Linked DNA regions of Nothobranchius furzeri. The protein of the gene in region 3 binds, or shares a complex with, the protein of the main gene of each other region. Links are inferred from orthologs where the notes say so. Each region holds a gene or a part of one and is shown on either strand. Other genes may lie near its edges. The genes, in order: ogt.1, KAT8 regulatory NSL complex subunit 1, phf20a and kansl2.

Region 1 (4,076 bases), on a different chromosome or scaffold from region 3:
CACCAGTGCTGCTGCCAGGTTTATGTATCCATCAATAAAGTCTGGCTTCAGCCTCAGAGCGTGGCGGTAATGCTCGATGGCCTCCTGCAACTGACCGCGCTCCTTGTACACATTCCCCAGATTGGAGTAGGCCTCAGCAAGCATTGGGTTCTGCTTGATGGCCAAGGTGCTGAAGTGAGCGGACCTGCAGGGCAGAAACAGGAGCAAACCGTAAAAACCCAGGAGCCCAGAGGCAACAGTTACTATCATTTACTGCTAGAGGCGACAGAAACGTGTAGAAAGGTTGAAGGAAGAGAATAAGTGCAATATTATTACATTTATAACAAAACATCAAACTTAAAACTTCCAATTTATAGTTTAACCCTCCGTTTGGGAATTAAGGATGAAGCAACACTTAAACCACAGCACCCGAAGAACAAAGCCATGTTGGACTTTGGGGGGGGGGACCTCATTAAACTAAATTTCCCACAGAGTTCAGATGTTTAACTTGATCTCCCAGCTCAGATGAGTGCGACCTCAAACCCAGAAGCCCAATACAGTTCTGCCATCTCCACACCACATTCTGCTTAAAGCCTTTCCCATTACACCTCACCTGTCAAGTCTTCGACACTGGAAGTGAATGGAAGACAGAAGCAAAAGCACGCCTGTGTTATCAGGCTCCTGCCTCCACAGCTGCATGCAGTGACGCTCAGCTGCCTCAAAATCCCCTGACTGGTACTCGCGGTGCGCCAGCTCCGCCAACCCTTGGAAGGAAAGCATACGTTTTGTTGGTTCTGGAGCACCAACATGAGCCAAGGAGGGGGGGGAAAACGACATGTTAGAGGTGATGGAATAAATGAAAGACAAATGAAAAACAAACAGATGGCAAAGCTTTCAATAAAGAACAATTTTAACTCAACAGAAAATGGAGCAACAAACAAAATCAAAGGGTCACAAAATCAAAGGTGATATAATAGAAAATGTTTGGAAACCATCATTTTTAAAACATTGTTGTATTCGATAACATTATAATTCAAATCTTAAGAGTGATTTGTGAGTTGAATAGCTGTAATGAACTGCTCCTTTATGAAACTTTGTCTTTTATTTTAAAATTACTGTCGGCAAAATAAAACGTAATGCTGACTGAATCAATTTAGTGTTGAATTAATCAAATAATTTCATTTTAATCTGTTTTATTGTGCTTAGAGATTATTAAGCACAAAAATAACAATCCAATATTAATGCAAATATATTTTATCACTCACAGAACAAAAAAGAAAATTGATAAGATGAATAAACAAGCGGGTAAGGGAATGACACAGAGGGAGATGTTCTAGAATCCTGTTGGCATTCTGGAGTCCAGGCATTACAAAGGATCTTCATCACATATGCATTACCATTATTAACCATATTTGCTTAGAGGAAATAGGGAGTGGCAGAGAACATGTGGAGGAAAATCACATGATTACATTTTAAAAAGACAGAGATCATTTTTGGAAAAGTTCCTCCACCCAAACAAACTTAGATCAATGCCTTTAGAGTCCAGAAATCAAACGAAAGATTGTTGTAACTCAGGTTTCTAAGGAAAGGTGTGGCCAAATGTATTTACAAAGACATTTCAACACTGCTCATCTGATCTGGCCAAGCCAGACTTTTAACATGTTTTTTTAAATTACATCTGAATATGTCTCTAATTTAAATGATGCTGGTCAAAAACAATCATGTTAGAACTTGCCAGTAGCAGTCAGCTGATAAAACTTTACATGAAACCAACTAACACACGTATTTAATAACTATTTAGTTTTGCTTCAAAGACCATACTTTTTGTTCTCACAGTTCTTGCCCTGGAGATTATTTCCTGTGGCAAAGGTGGTTTAATAAAGAAATACTTTTTTTCAGTTGTCCAAACGCATATCTAATTTACACTGCAATCAGATCTTACAATTCCACATCACCTAAATAAAAACCCCATGGAGACCAATATACATAAAAAGTTAATTGTATTATAGCCAGAATACCAGCAGCAGAAATCGTCATGGTTTAGTTTCCTTCCCTTCACAGTTATGTAACCACGCTCCTAAACGTGAGAAAAGGACTGATTTATTTCATACAACGTCCCACTCATTATTACTCAGCTGGAATGCAGTTTTGGGAGGAAACCTCAGCTTTCTCTGCGGCATCGGTGCGGTCTGCACGGACTGGGTCAGCAGGACTCTCCGCCATGCCGGATCGGTTTCTTTAAAAAATAACTTGACGCTAATATAAAACACAGTACCCCAACCTCATCGCAGTATCCTATTTACACGCTATCAAAATAAAATAAATGTACACGTAATCCGTGTAATATGCAGTTTAGCACCACGTTAAGGGGCAATGACACGCGCAGACCCGGCGCATTTGGTTTAATTGTGCGACACTTTCCTATACAAACAGCTGTTACTTAGTGTAGGCCTAAAGCCTTCGTATAACATGTGTAACCATGTTCATTTTTAATTATGATCATTTTTACAGTTAATAATCGCTTCCTCGCGTTAGCAGGAAATGCTATTTTACAAGCTAGCTCCATTAGTTAGCAATATAAGCAGCCTACCTGTGCTGTCGGCCACATTTCCAACTGAGCTCGCCATCTCCTCGGTCTTCGTGTCTTGTGCGGTGGTCGTCAACGTGTCTTCTGAAAAATAACAGCCCCAGGAAAAAAACGGTTCTGTCTCGTATTCTCGGTGCTTGAAAGTTAGCCCGCTGCCCGTCGAGTTAGCAATGCTAGCTTACTTAGCTTTCTAAAAATCCGATTAAAACACCTTCGCAGTGTTTTTTGTTTATTAGAAGATTAACTAACCGGTCAAATCACGCTGTTGCTATAACTAAATATCACAGAAATTCTATTGTTCACTGTAAGAGTCTACCTGGCTGTCTTCCTGCTCCCAACAAAGCAGCGGAACATGAAATGGCGAAATGAGGGGAACTCGTTTTTCATGAGAGAGAAACTAGGTCCCTCTGGCAGTTTTTTGATTAAATATGCGTACAGTTTTAATATGCGTATTTCATTACGAAATAGTGCGGAAACCCCAAAATTTCAACTATGTGCCATACATTTAGCAATACAAATGTGGGTATCAATACTATCTAGCGGAGGGATCTCACTGCGCAGTGAGACAAAGGACGAATGCTGTGAGCTGAGCCGGTGCACGACTAGAACATGGCGTTCAGGCTGCTAATTTATTTTTCACTGTTTGCTTAATGAAACCGGGATCCACGCGGTGTTCATCATCACATCTCAGCAGAGCAGAAGACATCTCATGCTAATGTGTTAACCCTTTTTCATTGGATCAACACATTTTCCACACCAAAGAAGTCATTCAAGTAGAACTCAATTGTTTTTGGGTAACCAAACAGAAATCACCTTTTCCTAACAATTCGAAACTCCATACATCAGTAAGAAGTCCATGAAGCACCCATTTGACACTCGTTTACACAAATTAAATGAAATCACATTAGCTATCATCCGGCAGGCCTGTAGGTGCCAACATGGATGGAGAAAGTCTATAGGAGGATCTTTGTTGGCAAGAAAACACACAATATGGCCTGCTGTGACAGCAGTGCTGTCAATACACGACGTACACTTCCATTAGAGCTTGTGGGCAAAATCTTCAATATGTAAACATTTTTAACGTCTAAAGACAGGAGGAGGTTTAGAGAGAAGCAATTGTTTTAAGTGTTTAAAGCTCTTGCTTGAAAGACCATTAAAAGATCTGACCACTTTTTGATCTCAGTTCTTGCCCAGGAGATTCTTTTCTGTGGCAAAGGTGGTTTAAAGAAACCTGTAAACTCTGTATGTCTTGGATGGGAGCTCTTTGTCCACTAATGTTCACACTCTGAATCATTCCAAAAAAGGCCATTTTTCTCCTTTACCGCTATCAGATTTTACGTCATTGCTTCCAGTGAACAAAATATTCATGAAACATGCAAGACAAAACACTCTAAATACAACGAACAGACACACGAAAACAGCAGCAAGCTCAAAAAACGGTCTAGAATCAGCTGTGGTTGACCCCATTTACCCAACACAAATCAGCGGTGTCCATTATTTGCATTGTTTA
Region 2 (3,564 bases), on a different chromosome or scaffold from region 3:
AGCCAGAACCACACTTGGACGCAGTCTCTACCTGGGTGTGAGGATCTCTTTGTACTGGAGCTTCTCCACCCGGGTGGTGGCTGCCACCGACATGGGTATCACGATGTTGTTTATGTCAAACGAGCTTTCACCTCGCCGCCGCTTGATGGGCTGCTGCTGGAAGACCAATCAGAACACACAAATCAGACCAGTGCTGAAGCGGGTCAACACCCACTTGATCTTAAGGCTGATTCATGCTTCTCCGTCAGCTCCGCAAGGGACAGACACGCACGGACAGACAGAAGCGTTTTGCTCTCATACTTCTCCGTCTCCTGGAGAGTGTTGCAAAGCAATTCCCCGCCAGGACAACAGAGGGCGTAGCGCTGTTCTGTGGTATCCTGTCAGGTATCGGTCCAAGATCGTGTGTTTATATTGTGTTTTTTGTACATAAGAGACTTTTTAACACGGACAAATTTGTCTCTCATTCTCCTTCACCCCTTCATGCGCTCCCCACCTCTAAACCCACGTTTCCTGTCATTTCCGTCCACAAATTAAACGCTTGCTGCGCATCTTTTCACTCCTCCAGCTACGGGGGAATTAAACGTTTATAGTTTTTTTCGCGAGGTATTCTTCAAGCTTCTCCGTGTCTGCCGCTAGTTATTCTCGGCTCTTTTTATGTTTTTGAGGGCGCAATGGCGGCGGTGTAGACGACAGCGATGCCCTGACCAATCACAAGCGTGCGTTCTCCATCTCGACGGACGGATGTTTAGAAAAGTGGGCTCGACTCCGTACGTACTTGCGTGCCTGCCAGGGCCCTACGCAAGGACGGATAATGGCGTTGCGTGTCTCCACACTGACGCAGACGGAGACGCATAAATCAGCCCTAAAACTCCAGAGCCTGGTTTTTGTTACTGTTCATAAATAACCCCAAATACATGTTTATGAAATCAGACATTTTGTTTAATAAAACTTTTTGAAAATTAAACACTACATGTTTTATTCCAGTAAGTAAAGGACACTTAGATGCCCTCCATCTGATTGATCATAAACTCACTTCCTGTTTTCAGGCAGAAGTAGATTTGTTCCTTCAAAGTAAAACTCCTGTGACCATCGACAGTTCCAAGAACACGGGTTGTGTTTCATCTGAAGCTGATTGGATCAGAACCACATCTGATTGTGACATCACACAGAGCCAGCTAGACCAGGTTCATGCGGATGATTTTGGGTTTCCAGGGAAAAACCTCAGCCTCATGTTAAAACAGGGTTGTTACACTTTTCCCAGTGACAAATTCAAGCGTCTCCAAGGTTAATTTTCAGACTTCTTAAGCATCATACGTTAAAGACAAGACAATACACAAGAACTCAAGAGGAGAGTTTCACCTCACCTCACATTAACAGTGACGATCTTATCCAATCACAGGATTGGACATTGGCCCTGATCACATTATTTTAAATTGGAAGCAGGTGAAAGAGATCAGATATAACACTATAAAGCAACAAGGAAGACCTTTTAAATTCATCCTCAGAAAGAATTTCAAACATAAGGATGTCTTAGTTTTAACCATCTGCTTTTAGTTCTAGTCTGCCACCCTGAAACCAAACACCCAGCTCTCCCAGTTCACAGCAGCAACTCAAACAAAAACACACAACTAGCTAACACAGAGAGAGAAATTGCCTATGAACAGCTAAAACACAACCAGGAAAGCAGTACATTATTCACGCTGAATGACTGTGGTTGCAAATAGTTTGTGCAGCCTCCTGGAGCCGATGAAGGAGCTGCTTTCTCATCACTTTTTTCACATCCAGCACTACAGGTGCAGGGAAGAGCGAGCCTGCCAGCCGCAACATGCGTGTATCCTGGTGATGTTTATCGCACAACACAGCCACACACTTTTTAAACTATTTTAATTCTAAGCAATGAAGCTATAATCAAACATGTTAGTAATATTAACACATTTTTTATCAATGGTCTTCCTGACGAGACAAGAGAGACAGACTAGGTTGAATTATATTGTCCCTGTGTATCATAGGTATTACAAGTAGGTGTTGCTGCTGAATAAATGATAAAATGGCTTGCCACAGTAGGTCTGGTCTGCTTTTGCAACCAAACACAGTACATGGAAGCTTCGGTTCACAAACAGACGCGATGAATGACCAAGTGCTTTATTAAATGACTGGTGTTTCTATGTTTAGTGAAACAAATCTGAACACGTTACATTTAGTTCTACTGTTTACTTCAACAAGATGCAGCCGAAACTTTTTTTTGTTGGTATTTTATTAGTTCACGAACTCGGAGATGTTTTGTAAACAAAATTAGTGGCCGAGAAAGCAGCCTACATCTGATGTGAACCGCAGCATTGGGAGGAGTGGGGCGTTGCAGCTTATAACAGGGAAAGTACCAAAACTTAGCAGCGAAAAAAATCTTTCCTACTGTTGTTTTGGGTACCCTGCTACAGTCCTGATTGCATAACTAAGCATCACATCCCGCTGGATCCTAGAACCAAAGCACACGCGCGTGACAAGCAAATATGTTTCATAGTTAAAGTGGGTCTGCTACAAAGCGAAGCCAGAAGACACCGCTGGAGTCTGCTGCTCACACACCGGTGTTACAGAAAAGAGCCGACCCCCATGGAGCAGCAGCAGCAGCATTTATTAAAGGTAAAATGATAACTCTAGTTTTCAGTATTTACAAATTTTGTTTTTTAATCAAACTAAATTGATCACAAATATAAAACTGAAGTTTGTTTTTCAAACATTTTCAAATACTTAATACAGAAATCAAGCACTTTCCATACCTTGAAAACATGTTATTAAAATAAAAGCATTGTCAAGGATTTCAAGCACCGTAACGAACCCTTTAAAAGCATTATAACCTACAAAGCTAAGGGTAGCAGTCGGTCAATTGCAGTTTTCTGGATACGAGCACCCACCAACCTCCGTTAGCTTTGGTTAGCTCGTAGCCACCTCGGCTCAGAGTTTGATGGGAGTCAATTACCTGCCCTCCACCCTCACAGCTCTATTTTTGTATTTTCCTGGAGTGACAAGACGTATGACGTGGCCAAGATGGAGGTGGTGGATACTGCCCACTGGACTTCCAATTCACTTCTTTTTTTTTTTTTTATTCAAGTTTGTATTGAACTTTCTTTTAGGGGCTGGTACATAGCAGTCTCAATAGATACTAAACATGGAGGTACTAAATATACAGATATAACAGTTGATTTTGGATACAGGTCCCAATCATAGAACTCTTGCAGACACGTAATGTCTGAGTAACAGCAGTCACATAACGTGCTTGATTTCACCCAAGGCCTTTGTCTTTATAAAGTTCCAGAATCCATCCCAGTTCCCTCTCTGTTGTCTTCACTCACTACAACTACTACTGAGCATACATTCACATGATGCAGATTCGGCCATTGCACAGACCCATTCCTTAACCTCTGGAGATTCTACTGCTTTCCAGTGTCTTAAAATGACTCCACAGGCTGTTGTTAATCCCACTGAGATGATTGAAAAATTACACTTATTTACATTAGGCAACTGAGATTTATCTCCCAATAAGCACAGTTCTGGGTTAAAGGGATGTCT
Region 3 (4,175 bases):
ACGGACGAGACAGAAAATAAGAGCAGTAGTAAGCAGCACCGTAGAGCTACGTGTGACAACTGCACCAGTGTTCCCACAGCTCAGACTGATGGTGGATGGCAGCAGAACCAGGATGCACTTAATTCGCTGGTTAATTCAGATTTAAATGAGTTCACTTGTAAATACCTAACAGGAATAAAGATGTGGAGCTACAGGTTCTGGTCCAAATGGCCCAGCCCTAAATGAGACGATAATAACCTTATATGATAAAAAAGGAGCCAAAGAGCTTTAGAGAGAATCCATTATTCATTCACTCTGATGGTGGTGAGCTACATCTATCTCTCTCTCTCACACACACACACACACACACACACACACACACACACACACACACACACACACACACACACACACACACACACACACACACACACACACACACAAAGTGACAGGAAAGGCTGGGATTGAACCGCCAACCCTCAGATGACTGGATGATGCGCCAGTATTAGTGGGATTAATATCTAATGTGTGAACTTGCATTTACAAAAGGAAGTTGTGTGTGTGTGTGTGTGTGTGTGTAATGTAAACATTCTTTTATGATTTACATGAAACCAAATAAATCATCCATGCTCTGCTGAACCCGAACTCTTCAGACCTTCATTAAACGTGTGATGAATGTATGTAAATGAGGAATGAGGGGGATGAACGAGGCCATGACTCACCAGTTTTTGAGGCTGTCTCTGGCCTCAAGCTGAGCTCCCACCTCAAATGTTATCCCTCTTCTGTTAGGGGGCGTCTTAGTCATACTGCCCACATCAAGGCTCCCTTCCTGTACACACACACACACACACACACACACACACACACACACACACACACACACACACACACACACACACACACACACACACACACACACACACACACACAACAGTTAACACACTATTAAAGAACGAGGCTCGTTGGTAAACCCCAACCCCCATAGTAATGTGTGTCTAACAGCGCACACAAACACACACACACACACACACACCCTCAAGTCAGTCCACTCATCATGAGGTAGGTTTGACACTAAGGTCGTGAGATGCCTTCCTGTACACAAGCACAGCAATAATACTAGCCAGGCTGTGGGGATGTATTTTATCTGGAAACACACACACACACACACACACACACACACACACACACACACACAGGTGTAGTACCGAGGTGAGCCAGGCCTCTGAAATGGTGGTGAGTATGTGGAGAAGACCGGGTGGTCAAATATTCAGATGAGCAGATGCAACAGGAATGACGTCACATGCAGATTCAGTGCCCCTCCTCATCTGGAGGTCAGAGGACCAAACACCTGAAGCTGTCGGTTCTGAGCACTCACCTAACCAGGTCCAGGTCGACTCACCTAACCGGGTCCACTCATCTAACCGAGTCCAGCTAGGTCCACTCACCTAACCAGATTCACTAACCAGGTCCACTCACCTAACCAGGGTCACTCATCTAACTGGTCCAGGTCCACTCACCTAACCGAGTCCAGCTAGGTCCACTCACCTAACCAGATTCACTAACCAGGTCCACTCACCTAACCAGGGTCACTCATCTAACTGGTCCAGGTCCACTCACCTAACAGGGGCCGGGCTCACATTCAGAGCCGCCCGGCTCGGCCCGCCATCATGGAGGTGTATGAATGCAACGCACTGCAGCCTACAAACCGGATGTGTCTACGCGCCGCTCAGCCCACGTGTTTTTCTGCTTAGTCCGTTTCACGCAGACACAATAGGAGACAAAAGGCTTATCATCTCCCGCCTGTTGCAGCTAGAATAAAACCACCATTATATCTGGACACAATTCCACTCCATCAAATACAGGATTTTTACCTTAATCTAAGGACTTTTAATGGCGGTCAGGAAGCCGAACATGACAGCCCAGACGAGGAGGAGCAACCAGCGTTAATTATGTCAAAATCAATGTTCACGTTGAAGAAAGGAGGTCATATGCACGTTTTTAGTACAGATTATTGCATTTTCAACCGAATGTTAAAAAGAAATCGGGGTTACGAGCCGCATACGGGCTGTTTTTGTTAGTAGGTTCAAAACATGAACGCACGCGAGTGTGATTTTAACCGGAAACACAAAATGAAACCGTATCCTAAAAGATTTCCAGCCGATCGGTTGTTTATAACTTTCTTCTCTGACACTTTATTGTCTGGTGTTTTATAACTGTAGGGTGTAGCGCGAGAAGCTGAGCCCTACGTCAGTGCTTTACACACATGTGATTGGCCGAGTCCGACAAAAAAGTAGGCGTGACCTCATGCCTGATTGGACGCATGAAGCCGTCACTCACAGGGAAGCTCTGGCCTCGCGCTGGGCCTAACCTCCGTACTTTTCCTACCGTGAACGAGCGGCGTGGAAACGGAGCGCGGCAAAGTTGTTCAGCAGAGAAACGCAACAAACACGCAGAGTCACCCGGTAAAAAGACCCGCATCCGTAATTATAGAAACACACGAGTCAGCGAAGACCGAGCAGAGACACGCTCCCGGGGAGCCTGTTATTACCCACTTGGTCGCGTTTGTTTTGAACTCTGAAAGCCGACATGCGGCATCAAACCGTGGATGAAGATGATGCAGCCGCCAGGCAGGCCCGCTCATGGCGCAGCAAACACATAAAAGCGCGGTCTGAAGATGACTCGGCGTGCCTACCTGTTTCCCAGTCTCTCGTTAGCAGGCTGGTTGGGTAAAAAATGTGCAGCGTAATCCTTCAAATGCGCAGATCCCGCCGCCTCCGCCTGTCTGCTCCAGACCACGCAGTTGAATTTCTCTGTTGTTCATCGGTGTTGTGCTGAGAAGTGCGTGCTTGTCGAGATTCTCGTACCTTCTCGCGGGAACGCGCACTCCAAAGAAACGAATAGAAATAAACGCAAACCTCTTGTTCGTGGTAAATAAGGGTGACATCGTGCTTTCTACGTCATAACTAGTGAGTTGGACTTCATCAGCACGTGTCATGTATAAACATCAGCTTAAAACAGATGATGCGTGTTCTGCTCTCCCCACCTATTCCACCTCCCTCAGGATCCACTCACTTCTTTCTTATTCACTCTCTCTCTTTCTTTCATTTTTTATCACAATTGCCTATTTTTGCTCATTTTAAATATATTTTTAATAATTTTCGATTTTTTAAAAATATTTTTACATTTTTTGTTTTTGTGAAGCGCCTCGTGATTTTTTTCTTGAGAGGCGCTATAGAAATAATATTTTCTTCGTCTGGTTACTCGGATTATTGCAGATTATTATTTACAGAGAAGATAATCCATGTCGCTAAAACAAAGATGCATACGTTAAACATTTTCATCATCAAATTATTCTAAATGTATCTGAACTAAGTAACGGCTGCATCTAATTCCCGTAAATAAACATCTGTAAACATCTTCCATGTCTACCTTTGAACTCTGTTTATGCGCGTTCCCGCGACGGAACATGCAGATCTTTGCGGGTGGGCTGTTTTAGCCTCACCGCGGGGACCGTAAAACTACAGTGCGCATGCGCGTCCAACGAACAATTTAAGCGTTCCAATTGGAGGAGGGATTTACGTTTTATGTGTTTTACTGCTAGTTTATGGTTAAAAATGAAGTGAATTAAAATAAGGTTGGATCTTTTTTTTTTTTATCTCGGTGAGACATTTTCATCAGCCTCCTAACTTGTAGAGATGGGAAACAGTTACAACTTTCCTTTATTCAGAACAAACCGCCTTATTTAAAGAGCTGAGTCTCCTCAGTCCTGAGTCCAGCTTCTAGAAGATGGACATTTGGTTCTTGTAGACTGGGGTAGAAGACTCCTTCCCTGAGGGCTAAAACAACTAAAACATGCTATTCAGCATGTTTTGTTTCCCTGCTTCAACACACCTGATTTCATTCAGCAGGTGTCTTAATAGACTTTAGCAGAGCCAAATGAGCTGCTGAACAAGTGAATCAAGTGTGTTGGAGCAGGGAAACAACTAAAACGTGCTGGAAACCGACCCTTGGGGAAGGGAACCCTGTTGTAGGTGTTTCCACCGTCATGCAACTACAGGAAGAATGAGTTGAGCGTGGCATAAGGTCAGGATATTTCAGACCAAAGTGACCATTACATTTTATTACATTGACTTAATGCTACACTGTCAGCCATTTTTAGTTATATTGGAACTAATCTGATGTGAAGTTTTGTCTCA
Region 4 (4,003 bases), on a different chromosome or scaffold from region 3:
TATTTTTTTCCTGATTGCCCAACAGTGCTCGTTTGTAAACAGCTGGGTCAAAAACATCTATTATGCTTTCCGATCACCTATGAATGTTCAGTATGCAACAGCACAATAATACAGTATCAAAAATAATCATGTGGTTTCTGGAATGTCAAAGCCGGTGGTACACAACTTCTCTGGTCTCATGTTCTGATGTTTTTATTTTCTTCTATTTTTATATACTAGGTTGTTCGTAACCCATCTTCACACTGTTCTTAAATTCGCATGTGTTCTGTAAATTAGTAAAATCCTAGATGGCATGCTGGCTGTCGGTATATCTCCGGTACAGGTTCTTGAGCATGAAGTCACTTAGTGATTGTTTAAATTTGATGCTTGGTTTTATATTTGTTGGTAGGAGATTCGGCTGTCATCTGGACATTTCATCCATATTGGGCTTTATATGGGTTTGGTTGTGTAGTATTACTGCTTTGACCTTATTTTTATGTTGTCATATAAAGTGGTTAAGGCAGTTTACAGCAATGCAGTAGAACAAATCAGCCATGCAACTACATTTTTGTTCCCTTGAAATACATGCTGGAAAAGAAATATTTCTTTGCTCAAGCAGCAGATGTTTTACTTCAATTTTTTGTTGTAACTGGGAATTGGTTAAATGCACTGAATATTTATCTTTGTGGGTTTGACTGCAATGTAATTGACAAAGTGTTAATTTGTACAGTGGGTAAATAAGGAAAGTGAATTTCAAATGCATTTTTTAAAACATGAGCTATGTGGTTTGGAGAAAGCGTTGAACTTGAGTATTAACATGCTATGGGGAAAATCGTGGAACACATTTTATTATAAAAACCTATATATATATATATATATATATATATATATATATATACAAACAGAAGACACTCATGCAACCTAACAATGCAAAAATCACATTTTCAATAGTCTTAAGTTTCATGTTTCTTCTTGTCTTGGTGTTTTTATTGACACTCAGGTCTGGAAATAAAAGTTTTTTTCATTAAGTTATATGTAAACACTGTTCTTTTTGATATGTGGTTGCTTTATTCTAAAAGTCAATAAATATTTTAAATACATTTTTGGTTTTAAGTTTTACAATCACCCGTCAGTGTCGTCTCAACAAGTTTGCCTCCGAAATGAGTGACAGTTGGATTAACCAATAAACCGTCTGGGTGTCTCCCATCCTGACCAATGAGAGCTTAGAGTGGGCGGGGCTGCCGACATGCTGAGGAAACTGCACGAAGGTTAGCATTGTGCTACATGTCTATTGTGAGGACAGCAGACGCGAGAGGGGCGAGCAGTTTTACTTCACACAACGGGTATTGTTTTACATCTTAATGTCAAATTATTTCAATAACACTAAGATGAATGTCTGACTGTTGCCATCTATCAGAAAAGCTAATTCCCTCGCTTCGAATTATTCCAGTTGTCAGTCAGCTGCCGTTGTCACTAGCTACACAAAAATGGCGGCCCATTAACTGCAGGATTTGGAGTGACGCAGTGAAGAGGCGGGTTTAAGCTCGTTGTAGTCTCCTATTTCCACATGTTTTGAAGTCCTTTTCGTCGTTAGCGTGGCCTTTCGTTTGGGTAGACCAGCGACGGTTTTCTGCTCTGTGTAGAACCTCGATACTTCTTGTCTGGTCCAAAATTAGAGAAATTGTTAGTAGTGTGGAGAAACTATTGCCGCGTGTGTTTGTTTACTGTAAGTATGAAACTGTTTTATGTTGTTTACCAGCTTTAGCTAATGTAGCTGTAGATTTGTTTGCGTTAGGGACTTGGGATTTAAAAACTGTATTTTGTCACAGACTGTCAGTTTTGCAGAGGTTTTCAAAAGAATCACAGAAACAATCCGCGTATTAGTCAGTGGGTGTATCACTACTGTTACTGTCAACAATATTATGGCATAATTTCCCAATATCGTGCGGCCTTGTGGAAATAGAAGTGGACCAACATAGATAAATATAATCTATTAGAAGATTACAGATAGAATAATGAACATCGATGTTCCCTTAGAAATGCTCTTGAAATGTCCTCACACCATGTCTGCAAAGGATGTATCTGAAATTGTCATCGAAGAATACATACGGTGATGTTTTTGGCTTGTAAAGAAAAGATGTCCACATATTTTTTAATTAAATATAAAAAGACAACATTTAGACTGTTCCTTTTTCTACAAGCAATAGAAAAATGGCAGTGTGAAAATGATCAATATTCACCACTGATTATAAATTGTCTCTAAAAATATCAGCTTAATAGTAAAAATGTACATATAGTATTTTATTTTGAACCAAATGATTGTTTACCATTTTGCATGAACGTGTTCGCTGACTTGCTGCTTCAACTTTCTGGAGCAGTAGGGTACAACCCTGGTCCTTGTGGGACCCTTTCTGGCACGTTTTAGAGGTTTCTCTACTTCAACACACCAGCTTTTATTCAGTGGGTGGTCAATAGGCTTGATGACCTGCTGAACAGGTAATTCATCTATTGAATTAGGTGTGTTGGAGCAGAGAAACAGATAAAACCTGTAGGATGGTGCCCCTGAAGACCAGGGTTGGAGTCCCTGAACTAAGGAATACTCTACCTTGACCGAGTCTACTTAAACCATTTTCTCCTAAAGTATTTATATAAAAATCCATGTTAATGATTTTGTGGATACTTTTCAGGCTTGAAATGAACAGGATACGAATCCACGTCTTGCCTTCGAGTCGTAACCGGGTGGCCCAGACTCGTCCACAGGAGCCCCAGGCCTGTTCCTTCACCCTACGACCGTGTTCTCAGCCACGTCTGGAAGGTTTGGAGTTCTGTATTAAACACATTCTTGAAGACAAGAATGCGCCATACAAGCAGTGCAGCTATGTCTCTGTCAAGAACGGCAAGCGCTGCCCCAATGCAGCTCCAAAGGCAGAGAGGAAAGATGGGTAGGCAGAAGTTCACACATTCATCAACTTTAAGGCTGTTTTCACACCTGCAGTTTGGTTCCTTTGGTCCAAATTTCTTTGTGATTTTGTTACATTACAGGGGTTTTTCTGCGCTTCAGTTTATTTTTGTACAGAAAAAAATAAACATGAGACCTCACTACAAACCAAGTGAGACTGTTCAGTCTTCTGAGTAGTCAGATAGTCTGGGGAGTGGCTACAAACGTAAACACAGGAAGAAGCTTGTGTGTTGTGATCATGAGCTATTTTTGAACCCTTTGAATGTGTTTTTATGATTCAGAGATAATAAATCTTGGCATCTGTCCAAAAATAAGTGAGTTTATTTGGAACCACTCGGCGACCACCTCCTGTAGCAGGTCTCGGTATGGTTTTGTTATGTACCCTAGCATCATCACTAGGAATGTAAGAAAATTTCAATGCACTGAAAGGTTTCTTGTTATGATATTGAATTAATGTTTAATAGTACATTATATGAACATTTTACAATGAAATTATCACAAAAACACCTAATGTCTCAATCATAATGAAAGGAAGGCTACATTGAAACAGATCTGCTTCTCAGCAGGCTAAAGGGTTATTGGTTATTCTCCTTTCACAATGCTCAAAGAGGAGCGTAGTCGTTGTTTATAATCAGAGCTCGTGGCGTTGCCAAGTCTGTTGATAAACTCTGCGGTGCCCGTTTTTGTAATTCGACACCAGCCGGCAAATACCTGAGTAGTATTAAAAGTGGAGAAAACCACATGTGATAAGTAGCAGCTACGCTGGGGAGAAGAGATTGTGCAGTGTCATATATGTGACTTGTAATTTGTAGTCATTTTAATTACAAATGTTTACAAGCTAATATCAAAGTACGCAAAAGACATCGTTGAAACACTTTTTTTTCTCGTTTAAATTGAAGTACAATATATGTGTGAGTCAGGACGTAAGGCAAAGCGGATTAGAAAATAGCATTAATTTGTCTTTGTTAGGAAGACCCATGAGCCGGGTGGGGGTGGGGGGGGGGGCTTCAGCCTTTAGACTTTTTTCCACCGGACGTTAAGTGTTGTGAAAACAGCCATGAAACA

The links.
Region 1: phf20a (region 3) and ogt.1 share a complex: the UniProt entries of both Homo sapiens proteins name them as parts of the NSL complex. The link is inferred for Nothobranchius furzeri from reciprocal best matches to the Homo sapiens genes PHF20 and OGT.
Region 2: phf20a (region 3) and KAT8 regulatory NSL complex subunit 1 share a complex: the UniProt entries of both Homo sapiens proteins name them as parts of the NSL complex. The link is inferred for Nothobranchius furzeri from reciprocal best matches to the Homo sapiens genes PHF20 and KANSL1.
Region 4: phf20a (region 3) and kansl2 share a complex: the UniProt entries of both Homo sapiens proteins name them as parts of the NSL complex. The link is inferred for Nothobranchius furzeri from reciprocal best matches to the Homo sapiens genes PHF20 and KANSL2.

Annotation. Positions count from the first base shown.
Region 1 is NC_091741.1:100,472,159-100,476,234, reverse strand, and holds the start of ogt.1 (UDP-N-acetylglucosamine--peptide N-acetylglucosaminyltransferase 110 kDa subunit), read right to left. Parts: upstream 2,823-4,076; 5' UTR 2,607-2,822; coding exon 2,570-2,606; intron 774-2,569; coding exon 593-773; intron 185-592; coding exon 1-184. UniProt on the Homo sapiens protein: Catalyzes the transfer of a single N-acetylglucosamine from UDP-GlcNAc to a serine or threonine residue in cytoplasmic and nuclear proteins resulting in their modification with a beta-linked N-acetylglucosamine (O-GlcNAc).
Region 2 is NC_091756.1:53,931,853-53,935,416, forward strand, and holds part of KAT8 regulatory NSL complex subunit 1, read right to left. Parts: intron 157-3,564; coding exon 32-156; intron 1-31. UniProt on the Homo sapiens protein: Non-catalytic component of the NSL histone acetyltransferase complex, a multiprotein complex that mediates histone H4 acetylation at 'Lys-5'- and 'Lys-8' (H4K5ac and H4K8ac) at transcription start sites and promotes transcription initiation.
Region 3 is NC_091743.1:40,242,607-40,246,781, reverse strand, and holds the start of phf20a (PHD finger protein 20), read right to left. Parts: upstream 2,826-4,175; 5' UTR 2,672-2,825; intron 1,208-2,671; exon of another isoform or gene 1,185-1,207; intron 809-1,184; 5' UTR 785-808; coding exon 702-784; intron 1-701. UniProt on the Homo sapiens protein: Methyllysine-binding protein, component of the MOF histone acetyltransferase protein complex.
Region 4 is NC_091755.1:57,565,315-57,569,317, reverse strand, and holds the start of kansl2 (KAT8 regulatory NSL complex subunit 2), read left to right. Parts: upstream 1-1,191; 5' UTR 1,192-1,263; coding exon 1,264-1,322; intron 1,323-1,378; exon of another isoform or gene 1,379-1,705; intron 1,706-2,666; coding exon 2,667-2,921; intron 2,922-4,003. UniProt on the Homo sapiens protein: Non-catalytic component of the NSL histone acetyltransferase complex, a multiprotein complex that mediates histone H4 acetylation at 'Lys-5'- and 'Lys-8' (H4K5ac and H4K8ac) at transcription start sites and promotes transcription initiation.